Nothobranchius furzeri: one gene and its partners. The protein of the gene in region 2 purifies or fractionates together with the protein of the main gene of each other region. This does not show direct contact. Links are inferred from orthologs where the notes say so. Each region holds a gene or a part of one and is shown on either strand. Other genes may lie near its edges.

The links. The genes of interacting proteins can lie anywhere in the genome.
Region 1: the proteins of prpf31 (region 2) and sf3b1 fractionate together in Homo sapiens (co-fractionation; 3 studies listed by BioGRID and IntAct, with this or other methods). This does not show direct contact. The link is inferred for Nothobranchius furzeri from reciprocal best matches to the Homo sapiens genes PRPF31 and SF3B1.
Region 3: the proteins of prpf31 (region 2) and eftud2 purify together in Homo sapiens (affinity purification with mass spectrometry; 4 studies listed by BioGRID and IntAct, with this or other methods). This does not show direct contact. The link is inferred for Nothobranchius furzeri from reciprocal best matches to the Homo sapiens genes PRPF31 and EFTUD2.

The regions. Positions count from the first base shown.
Region 1 is NC_091754.1:36,036,820-36,040,337, reverse strand, and holds part of sf3b1 (splicing factor 3B subunit 1), read left to right. Parts: intron 1-232; coding exon 233-412; intron 413-483; coding exon 484-570; intron 571-904; coding exon 905-1,175; intron 1,176-3,518. UniProt on the Homo sapiens protein: Component of the 17S U2 SnRNP complex of the spliceosome, a large ribonucleoprotein complex that removes introns from transcribed pre-mRNAs.
Region 2 is NC_091745.1:76,608,081-76,612,117, forward strand, and holds the start of prpf31 (U4/U6 small nuclear ribonucleoprotein Prp31), read right to left. Parts: upstream 2,802-4,037; 5' UTR 2,662-2,801; intron 1,658-2,661; coding exon 1,442-1,657; intron 1,366-1,441; coding exon 1,305-1,365; intron 1,200-1,304; coding exon 1,116-1,199; intron 1,019-1,115; coding exon 921-1,018; intron 552-920; coding exon 445-551; intron 1-444. UniProt on the Homo sapiens protein: Involved in pre-mRNA splicing as component of the spliceosome. Required for the assembly of the U4/U5/U6 tri-snRNP complex, one of the building blocks of the spliceosome.
Region 3 is NC_091745.1:13,626,186-13,629,703, forward strand, and holds part of eftud2 (116 kDa U5 small nuclear ribonucleoprotein component), read right to left. Parts: coding exon 3,439-3,518; intron 3,326-3,438; coding exon 3,207-3,325; intron 3,080-3,206; coding exon 2,985-3,079; intron 2,900-2,984; coding exon 2,746-2,899; intron 19-2,745; coding exon 1-18. UniProt on the Homo sapiens protein: Required for pre-mRNA splicing as component of the spliceosome, including pre-catalytic, catalytic and post-catalytic spliceosomal complexes. Component of the U5 snRNP and the U4/U6-U5 tri-snRNP complex, a building block of the spliceosome.

The DNA of each region.
Region 1 (3,518 bases), on a different chromosome or scaffold from region 2:
CACAGACTTTTTGCTGTGACCTTCTGTATAGTGATGTTCGTTTGTTTAGGTTTATAAACTACAGCTAGTATTTTTTTTTCACAAAGTGCAAATAAAAAGATCAGCAGGTGCCAGTTTGTTCCACGTAGCAGAGAAAAGGTCTGCTTCAGCAGGCAGTTGGTGCAACCGCTAAACCAAAGTACTTCTGTGTGTTTGTGAGGCTTTTATCTGACGCGTCTCTTTTCTTTATCAGGCGGCTCTGCGTCAAATCACAGACAAAGCCCGTGAGTTTGGAGCTGGTCCCCTGTTCAATCAGATCCTGCCGCTGCTCATGTCGCCTACCTTGGAAGACCAGGAGCGCCACCTGCTGGTGAAAGTTATCGACAGGATTCTCTACAAACTGGATGACCTGGTTCGGCCGTATGTGCACAAGGTGGGTTCACTGCGGAGACGTGCATTTGTCTCTATGGATGTTGGCGCTCTAACCTGAGCTTTTCTCTTCAGATTCTCGTGGTGATTGAGCCTCTGCTCATTGATGAGGACTACTATGCTCGAGTTGAAGGCAGAGAGATCATCTCTAATTTAGCGAAGGTATTGTTTAGCTGCCATTTGCTTTTGTTGATGTAACAGAGAAATGACGCGAACCTTTCTCGCCTGGTTGACCAGTTTGTGGTCTGATCAGGGCTAGTTGTTCGCCAGATTGATACCAACATGAGAGCATGCAGACCTGACCTTAATGCCTAGTCTGTTCTCAACCTGCACCCGTTGGTTACAGTTCCTCTGCAAAGAAGCAGCATCTGTTAAATACTTCAGCATGAGTGCACAGTCATAGTTATAAAGTGTTTGTTCTGCTGACTGATGCTGTGTTTGGGCTTTCAGTGGTAATCAGAGTAACCTGTGAACTTGTTTTTCTCATGTTTTTAAGGCTGCTGGTTTGGCTACAATGATTTCCACAATGCGACCTGATATTGACAACATGGATGAGTATGTCAGAAACACGACTGCTCGAGCCTTCGCGGTGGTGGCCTCGGCTCTTGGTATCCCCTCCCTCCTGCCCTTCCTCAAAGCTGTGTGCAAAAGCAAGAAGTCGTGGCAGGCGCGACACACGGGCATCAAGATAGTACAGCAGATCGCCATCCTGATGGGCTGCGCCATTCTGCCTCATCTGCGTAGCTTGGTGGAGATTATCGAACACGGTCAGTCGGACCCTCATCCACAAATCTTTTAAAGCACCAATCACGTTCTGTTACAGGTGATCGCGTTAAAGCCATGACTCGGTGTGTTTTACACTGAGTAAAAAAGAAAAGGTTTAATCCTTTATAAATGACATTATTATTATTAGTGGGGACGTTCCATCACATTGGGTGAAAAGGATCAGATACAACCTTATAAATCAGCAAGCATAACCTTTTAAACTAACCCTGAGATTTAGGTGAAAGACTGTTGTCAAGCGCCTTGTGAGGTTCTGGAACTCTGTAAATACAGTCCTCTTACCAAAACGGTAACCATAACGATCTGCAGTAGTTTCTGTGGAGGTTAGGGCTGGGGGTAAACGATTATTTTTAAAACGATTATCCTGACGATTTTTTATCGAATAGTCAACTATTCTAGTGACTAGAGCAGGGGTCGACAACCTGTTCCCATCAAAGAGCCATTATTACCCGTTTCCCACAGTAAAGAAAACACTGGGAGCCACAGCAGCCGCGGCGTTGTGGGCGGGGCCTACCCTCAGACAGCAGAGCGCTGCCTTAACCAATCACAACAGGTGACAGCAGTCGGTACCGGTCGCTCGTGTACGTCAAAGTTATCTTTCATAAAAAAGATAATCAATAAAATGATTTATATAAAGTGGATCCAGAAGTTGTAGCCCGTCTCTGCCTACAATATTTTGATATTTTTCACCCTGTTGGTTTTACTGAGCAGGTGCCACTTTTGTCATACGTTTCTTTTTACAACATGTTTAGACTGTTCAGAATACAAATCCAGGCTCTGTCACGTTTGATTGTTGTAATTAAACTTTGTAGGTGGGGAAGGTCAGAAAAGGATCCGATCAGTTTGTTTTTCCCTCATTTACAGCAGCGGAGATAACGACGCAGTGCGCCTGGCTCTGGTGTTAATCAAGTTAAATTATATCTCTTTGCAACAATTTTCACAAGAAAACAAAACAGTTAAAAGCAGGGCTTGTGTTGTGTTGACCGGACAGTTCCCGTATTTGACCGTTTATTTTGACGGAGAAAGAATAGAAAGAATTACCCCGACGCATGCAGACAAACTGACATTTTATTCTACACACATCGCAGATGTAGCTAAATCACTCAAGAAAAGATTCCCATCTGAACATCTGAGCTGGACATTGCTCAGCGCAGCTCACTGTCAGCGCATACGTATGGTACACAGCGAGCTGAAGATGTGGAGAGGGGCTTGGAGCGCGTCGCAGAACCAGAGCGCATGCGTGAAGATTCCTCCCACTGAAGCGAGACTTGTCACTTAGAAAATGTTCCCTGATTATGAAACTTTGGCTGAATAGCGCTTGTTCCTGTCTCCAATGTGGCGACACATCCAGGAGCCTGTCTGAGGAGAATCCCAGAATCTCACATCCTCTTCAGCTCGGAAAGTGCCTATGATTACGCACAAGCGTGACGCGTCAACCCGGTCTCACAGTAAGACTGGGTTGGACCTGTTCAGGTTTACGCAGACAACCTTTACATTTAGAATTAGCTTACAGATGTAAAATTAATGCAGTAAAATATAAAGCATTTTATTTAAATATCCATTCATTATTTTACAAGCATAGAGAGCCGCATCAGATGGATGGAAGAGCCACATGTGGCTCCAGAGCCGCGGGTTGCCGACCCCCGATTTAGACAATTAATCTAGTAATTATTTTCTTATTGCATAATTAATAAAAACAAGAAAATCTCTTAATAAATTCCTCCAAGAAATTGATCAATTGTTACTGTAATAGAATAAACGCTACAGACCTTCCATTTTGTATAACACTGCTTTTATTGTGTTGCGGTTGGTTATGTTCTGGTGACGTGTAGAACTTGGGAATGCAGCCTGCTGCCTGAGAGGTGGTTGGAGAAGGAGTGTCTCCATGCTGCTTTGTTTTGGTCACTTATGTGTGTGAGGCGAGTGGTGTTATGACCCTTCCTGGGGAGTTTGGCTCGTGTGCAAAAAGGAAGGGACAATAGCGGGATTTAAAAGTTAAAATGATGATCAGGGTTCTTTACAACTACAAAAAAACATAAATCTTTCCATCCACAGGTTGGGAATAATAAAACTAATTCTGCCCGTGGGGAATTAAAACAAAAGTACAAATAAGTAGGGATGTCCCACTGGGCAAAGATTACAGGGTTCTGGACCAAAATAAGGATCTGCAAAGGTCCAAACTCTAAACTGGGCGGTTAAACCAAACTCACGGTGATATCTTAAACTAAACCAAAAACCCACAACACTCTAAATGTAATAAAAGGGAGATCTACACCACAAAAACGATGAACTCTAAACCAAAACGTAACGGCTTATCCAAACGCAAG
Region 2 (4,037 bases):
AAATGGCTATTTTGTTGTTAATTTGCAGGAAATATCTAGAAGAAAGTTCTACAGAAAGTAGCTAAGGGTCCTCAGAAATGTAGCTAGCTTTGTCACTAGGCGTTAGGAACAGCGACAAAGTGGCACTGCCTCTCTCTCTGCTGCTAAAGCTACGGATAGCAAATGCTACGGGCGATGCCTGAGCGTGAACGCGCATGAAGCAGCCTGCTCGACCCGAGCATCTCTCTTTTTCTGTGATTTTACAGAAAAACAGGCAATCACAGTAAAAATGCCAGGGCTCATTCTACAGGACCAGGGCATTGCAGGAGAATGTATGAAGAAGACATTTATTATTTCTATACATGTTTTGGCTGTCAAACTTCCATAATGCCCCTTTAACATCTGAATTATTCAAAAACTTCATGCTGTTCACTCGCCAAACAGGATTCTGACAGGAAAACTCACCCCTGTGTGGTCGATGCGGTGACACTGACAACCATAATAGTTGCATTGGTCAGGATTTGCTGCAGGGTCTCATTGTTTTTACATTTATCCAGATTGTTTCCCAGTTCCTACAAAAAACACACAAATATTACTGAATGTTTTGCTAAATCTGCACACACACACACACACACACACACACACACACACACACACACACACACACACACACACACACACACACACACACACACACACACACACACACACACACACACACACACACACACACACACACACACACAAACACAAACAAAAAAAAACTAATCCGGTTTTACGTTTAAAAAGTTTGGAGATAAAATTAAAAATGTAAATAAACAGCAGAGAATTGTGTGATTTCACAAATCCTTCAGAAAATATTTATTACATTTAACCAATGACACAAATATTCAAAAAGGTGACATTTTAATGTGAAATTCAGAATCAAGACGTCAGCTCACCTTGACTGTGCGAATGTAATCTAAAGCATCTGGCACCAAAGACTCGAGCTCAGGAAACCTCTTGGAGTATTTGTCTCTTGTAAACTTGTGAATGATGTCTAAAAGTACAAAAGGAATAGAAAAATTAGATGTGTGGAATTACTCCTCACGCTTTTCTGTCACGGTTCCTCGCAGCGGAACAGCCAGCTGACTCACTGAGCTCGTTGTCGATCTCCACAGTAAGGTTGTTGGCCGCTACGATCAGCCTGTATTCTGGATCAGCCTCAACAGGACCAGAGACTAAAAACAAACACAGCAATCACTTCAGATTTGTCAGCACCGAGCTGATTTAAATGCTGTGAGGGACGCCTGAGCATTGATGAAACTCAAAGGAATCAAACTGACCGTCTGAATTTTTGCGTTGCTTTCCCACATATTCTGAAATTTTGTCCATGATGTCTGAAAACTAAAAACACACACAGTTAAGTGGGATTCTAATGTTTTATTGTACATCTCACTACACAGAAAACTCAGATGATAACCTGCTTGCTGTTGCGAAGCTTGGCGATGGACGCAACGCTTTCAGCTTTACTGTAGTCCACCTCCATCTCCTCTGGAATGTCTTCCAGCCCTGCCTGTGTCCTTCCCTGGATCCCCTCTCCATCACTGTCTCCCTCCTCCTCATCTGGATACAATCCTTCTTCTCCTTCATCTGCAGCCTCCTCCAGGTCAGCCAGGAGCTCGTCTGCTAGAGACATCTGCAAAAGAGCAGCGAATAAAAATAACAATATGAAGATGATAAATACATGAAAACAAACCAAAGTGTGTGTCTGTGTACACCCCCTTCTCATCTTAGACAGTATATTCATAACAGCACTTTTCTTCTACATTTTCACACACACACACACACACACACACACACACACACACACACACACACACACACACACACACACACACACACACACACACACACACACACACACACACACACAGAGAAAAAGAAAGAATGGTAATAAAAGCCTCATCTTAATGATGAACATCTATTTTTATTGTAGCTCTGATCTTCAGATTTTTGAACATGTTTTTCCACTAACTCCATACTTCTGTTTCTTTAATTTAAAACTTCATTAATCTTTGGAAAAATTTAATAGAAGGCGTATTTATGCCAGTAGTTACCTCTACTAAATAATCTAATTTTAATATGTAATTTGATATTTCGTTGGATTAAATCACATTATTTTAGTGAAACCAAGTAAACACTGGCACATACATGTACACAGATAGAGATAACCTGCTTTTCTAAAACACCAAATACTGTCTCATTCACTATTTCAAAAGGCTGAAAACACAAATGTACAGCAAATCACTATGTTTTACATTATTACTCATTTTAACTGATTTCTAAACATTTATACACGACCAAAATTATCTCGTGCAACCGGTAAACCTGAAACTGCTATTAAACTAAAATTATAGTTTGCTAAAGATACATTTTAAACCTCATACACAGTATTTCATTGAAATACTATTGGTAGTATACAACTTTTTGTCTCGTTTTCAGTGGCTGCATGGCATTTCATTACTTCAAGCTCTTCAAATAACATGTAAAATTGCAACACATAACATAAATATAATAATTAACACATTTTAAGATGTTTTTCTCAGCCGCGTTAACACACCAGCTGCGCTGTTAGCTAGCTAGCGGCATCAAACGTCTCCTAAACGTTTCCTGAAGCTTTATTAAAATGTTAGAACTCACCTCTGAGATTCAAATTGAGATTATTTACTCGGGGAAAAAAAACTTCAGAAGACAACTAATCTGTTTAAACACGCTGTTGCTATTTTATTTGTCCGTTTAAAGCTAATGTTGTGCTCTGCTCTTGTCGCAGATTAAATACGTAATGAGCTTCCTAAGGCCTTCTGGGAAATGAAGTCACTGGCCCATAAACTGAGAAATAGATGAAAACTAATTGCTTTATTTGCGAATACTTCGTTTTAAGATGACAAACAGTGAGATTTATATCCATGAAAACATTTTAGGTAAAATATCAACTTTTTTCTGTTTTTATTTCTTATTTCTTCTTATTTATACATCGTCCCCTTTGAAAATCATTTTAAAACAACACAAGTTTAACATTGAAACAGACTAAACAGACTTGCCGGACCTCTGCAGCATGACCAACTGTTATTAGTTAAAAAAAGAAGAATAAATTAATCAACAAATACACAAACAAATTGACTTATTTACTCATGAAAAGCTCTGATTTGTGGTGCTAAGCTACAATAATCATTATCAAACAAACAAGTAAAAAAGTGGTAAAGCTCCTGAAAATGTTGACCAAGACCGAGAGAGAGAGAGAGAGAGAGAGAGAGAGAGAGAGAGAGAGAGAGAGAGAGAGAGAGAGAGAGAGAGAGAGAGAGAGAGAGAGAGAGAGAGAGATTTCCACACAGTAAAGATCGTCATAATATATTAACAAGTAAAATTATTCGAAATACATTTTCTTCCAGCAATTAAAATGTTTGGGAAAATATTGTATTTGTTATGAAGATCTTAAGAGAATGTACAACTTGGATGCACTTTATCCCAAACTAAATAAATTTCATAAATGTTAACTACTCTAAAGCAAATAAATGAACTTATAAATAAATAAATAAATAGGTAAATTAATTAACTAATTTGCACAACTTGGTTTACAGCAAATAATTCTATCAGTATGATAAATATAAAAATAAAACAAATTTTAAAAATGCTTTTCTAAGATACAAATCCAAAGTAAAATACCTTTTTTTGCAGTCCAAGATTGCTTCTTAAAGCAAAAGCTCTAAAACAATATTGTGTCCACCTATGTTGTGATACTTGCACAAATGCTGAGGAGTATTTTCAGATACAGGAGTCAGGAAATGTCTGCTTGAAACTGCTGCCTACAAGCACGACGGACTGACTGCAAAGAAAAACGTCGTTGAGGATAAACTGGGGAAGAGTCCAAGCGTATACACAGACGGATGAACGACTAAAGAAAGTGCATCTCCCTCCCACACACCCTAAGAAAACGATTCAACAGAATGAAGGAGAAAAGAGAAGGTACGCTGGTACACAGCAAGACTCCCACTGCATAGCTGACAAAGTTGTTTCAG
Region 3 (3,518 bases), about 63 Mb from region 2:
GGGGTCACCAGGCACAATCTTAAAGGGGGATCAGATAGGTGATGCAAACAGAAACCACATTTGTTCTCATATAACACATGAAACTTTTCAACCAGCCGAGTGGATATTTTCATTTTATGAGATTCAGCTGAACGCCTGTCCTGTTGGTACGGAGTCAGCAGAACGTTCATCAGCGTGATGGAGAGATGTGCAAATGTGAAAGCACCGTCACACCATCAAATGTGACCAACACAGCAACAATGCAACGTCGGCAGGTTGAGCTTTAAAACGATCCACTAAAGCCATTACCCCAGGCAGTTTGCAGGATGACCTTCACAAAACGCGTCATATATTAATCGTCCCGTTCTGCATTTAGCCGCAGATGAAAGATGAGACCTGCTAGCAGGGTGGTGGGCGTGTACGTGAAGTAGGTCCAGCCAAATCAACCAAAGCGTGAGAGCTACTAATTACATAATAACATTGAGTATTTAAATCTAACTATTAAGGAAATGTGGCCAAATGGTGCACTACACCAACCTCTGAGCTATTCTGGATACCCTGAGCAGCTGAATCCGTCGTGTTGGGACAGTAATTACAGTTACGGATGATAACGGTGATTGATGAGGCACTAAGTGTAAAAGTAATCGCAAAGAAATACTAAATAAATCTTATTAAAATGGGGTGGGAATCCTGAACTCACGTTTGCGTCGCATTCATTTAGGAAATTACAAAGTTATTTGAAAACGTTTAAACACAACTCCAAACAGAACTCCTAAAATAAACAGACATCAAGTAGAAATGTCGATTTTTAAAGTTACAATGCTGATGTGACAGTGTGAGTGTCCTGTCACAATGTCCCGATAGATCATGCGCCCTGGCTACTTGGCCAAGGGGATGTCCCTTTGGCTGACTGGTTAGAGCGTATGACTCTCACCCGGGAGTCTGGGGGATCAAATCCCGCCTGGGCCCTCGTTTGTCCACCTTGCCACACTAATGTTAAAGTTTAGATATTCCGGTAAGTTAGCTTTCTTAAAAACTATGAAATATTGAGCTAACGTGCTAACTCAGACTGATGTAAAATAGAAGTGGCCAATCGAAAGGCGGGGTGAAGAGACCCCCGTCTAAGGTCTCTAAAGCTTCCTCGACAGTAAAACGTTGTCCGTCAGTTCAACCGTGGCTCATTTACCAAAGCGCCGGCAGAACCATGACGGGAACAATGATCCATAATATAGAGAATTTTTTTTCTTTGGTCGGCCACTTTCCATCCACGCGAGTCTAAATTTGCACGTTACCCAAATACGATAACCACATTTTATATTTTAACATTTATATTCAGCTCCACACATTTAGTTTTCAGTTTAAATATTTACGTTTAACTTTGCTTGTTTAGATTAGCATCTTTATATTTTTCTATCTGGTTTAATTTTAATATTATCCAAATCTAAACGTGATCAAATCCAGCAATTCTGACAATATTACTTAACAATCGGCCCCCACAGCAACAAAAACTAAATATCGCTGCTTACATAAAACTATGTCTGGGAATATTCCAGTAGTGAAAAGCTGATGTATTAAAAATGTATTGAATTGGTAAAAGCTTGAAAAAGATTCTGTAGAAAGTAGGACTGCACAATATATCGTAAATATATCGTTATCGCGATATCAGCATGAGCAATATGCGTATCGCAAAGAACCAAAATATCGCAATGAATGGTCAGCTCAAATGTTTGCTTCACATCAAGCTTCTGTCAGTCAAACGGAAGAATGATGTTTAACAAATCAAATAGAGCTCTTCACCCATTTAGCCAATCGGGTGGGTTCTCATAGGTTAGATTCCCGCCCCCGAGGTGGACGGAACTTAATTTTAATGGTTAGCAAACACCTGAGTTAGCTTTGTTCTGCTGATTCTGCTTTTCTTGATCATTTTCTTTTCCCTTTCCTCACATCTTTTGCATTTCTCATTTTTATGATTTATTTTATTTCTTTGCTTTATTTTTGTTCCCGAGTTAAGTTTTTATTTATAGCAAGTAATATCGTCATTGCAATATCAATCACCATTATCGAATATCGCAGGTTTTCCCAATATCGTGCAGTCCAGGTAGAAAGTATCTGAACACAAACCAACCAAAGGTGTCAAGAGTTGTATTAATTTTGGTCGACTCCATATGATTAGCATTCATATAGTGAATAATTAAAATGTCTAGTTAGATGCATTTATTTTCACCTCAAGGGGATAAAACGGTTAAGACGATATCACTTTAAATTTGTGCCGTGGGAATATTTTCCGTAGCTCGTGGCTTAAAGACACTAAGCTGAAATATTAATCTAGCCTAAGTGGAGTTCATTTTCACTGACACAGCTCAACAGAGTGCAGACACAAACACACGTCAGGCAGACACAAACAGCCTCATAACGCTTTAAAAGTAATGACTCAACACTCCACCGTCCTTTGGATCAGAAGCAGTTTGCCCAGAGTGGCAGACATGCATGAGGTCGACCACGACGCAGCACGAGCTGCCACAAACGCACGAGTTCAACAGCAGAGAGATCAAAACATTGTTTACCGCTCTAATTTCCCTCTGGGATTAATAAAGTATTTATTGATTGATTTTTTTCATGGTGCAAAGTGACTGTCACACTCAGGTGCACACTTTATTGGTAGGCCACACATTTCTGCTGCTATTTGAATTTTAATCGCAGCTAAATCTGATGAAATCAAATTCAGAGCGATAACACGCAGAAAGCAGGTTGCGTGTTTAATCTCACCTGCCAGTGGTGGAAGACAGACAGAGCAAAGGCCTGACCCTGAGTGTGCGTACGAAGGTCAGTCTCAAAGCCAAAAGAGTCGATGGCTGGGATAAAAGCTTTGATTGTGTAGAGTGGAGAGCCGGGAATAGGTGCATCCTGGGTGACGTGACCTCTGACAGACGGAAAACACACGAGAAGTTTTTTAAAACTTTAACAAATAATTGTCAGAATTGTTGTTTTTGCCTCGTGAGACAAACCTCCTCCGAGCCAGCACCGTGTAGACCGCTGACACACAATCAGCCGGAGCCTGGACCTCTACGAAATAATACGGCTCCATCAGCCTCGGCGTGGCCTGGGAGAACAAAGCAGACTCTAAAGCACTAAAACCCGGAGAAGCATTACGATGTTCTAATGAACACATTTATGATTCAATCAAAGCTAGCAAGCATTTAGAAGGTATGGATCAAACCAAGCCTCACCATGAGGAAAGCAGAGTAAACAACCCTCCTGGCCGTAGGGATAACCTGACCTCCTCCTCTGTGGAGAGGCTCCTGAGCGATCACAGCATCCAAGATCTTAAACTTCACATTTCTAATGGCTGAAGAGCGAGGAAAAAACACAAGACTCTGTCATTTTATATTTATTAAGCTACGTATGTCCATATCAACAAGCATTCTGACATCCAACAGCTAAACTCAGCGTGGTTCTTACGTTCGTCACAAAGAGGCCCCTCCCTGGTGCCCCACTGGAAGCCCTGAACGATGCTGTCTTTAACAGACCCCAGCAGCGCC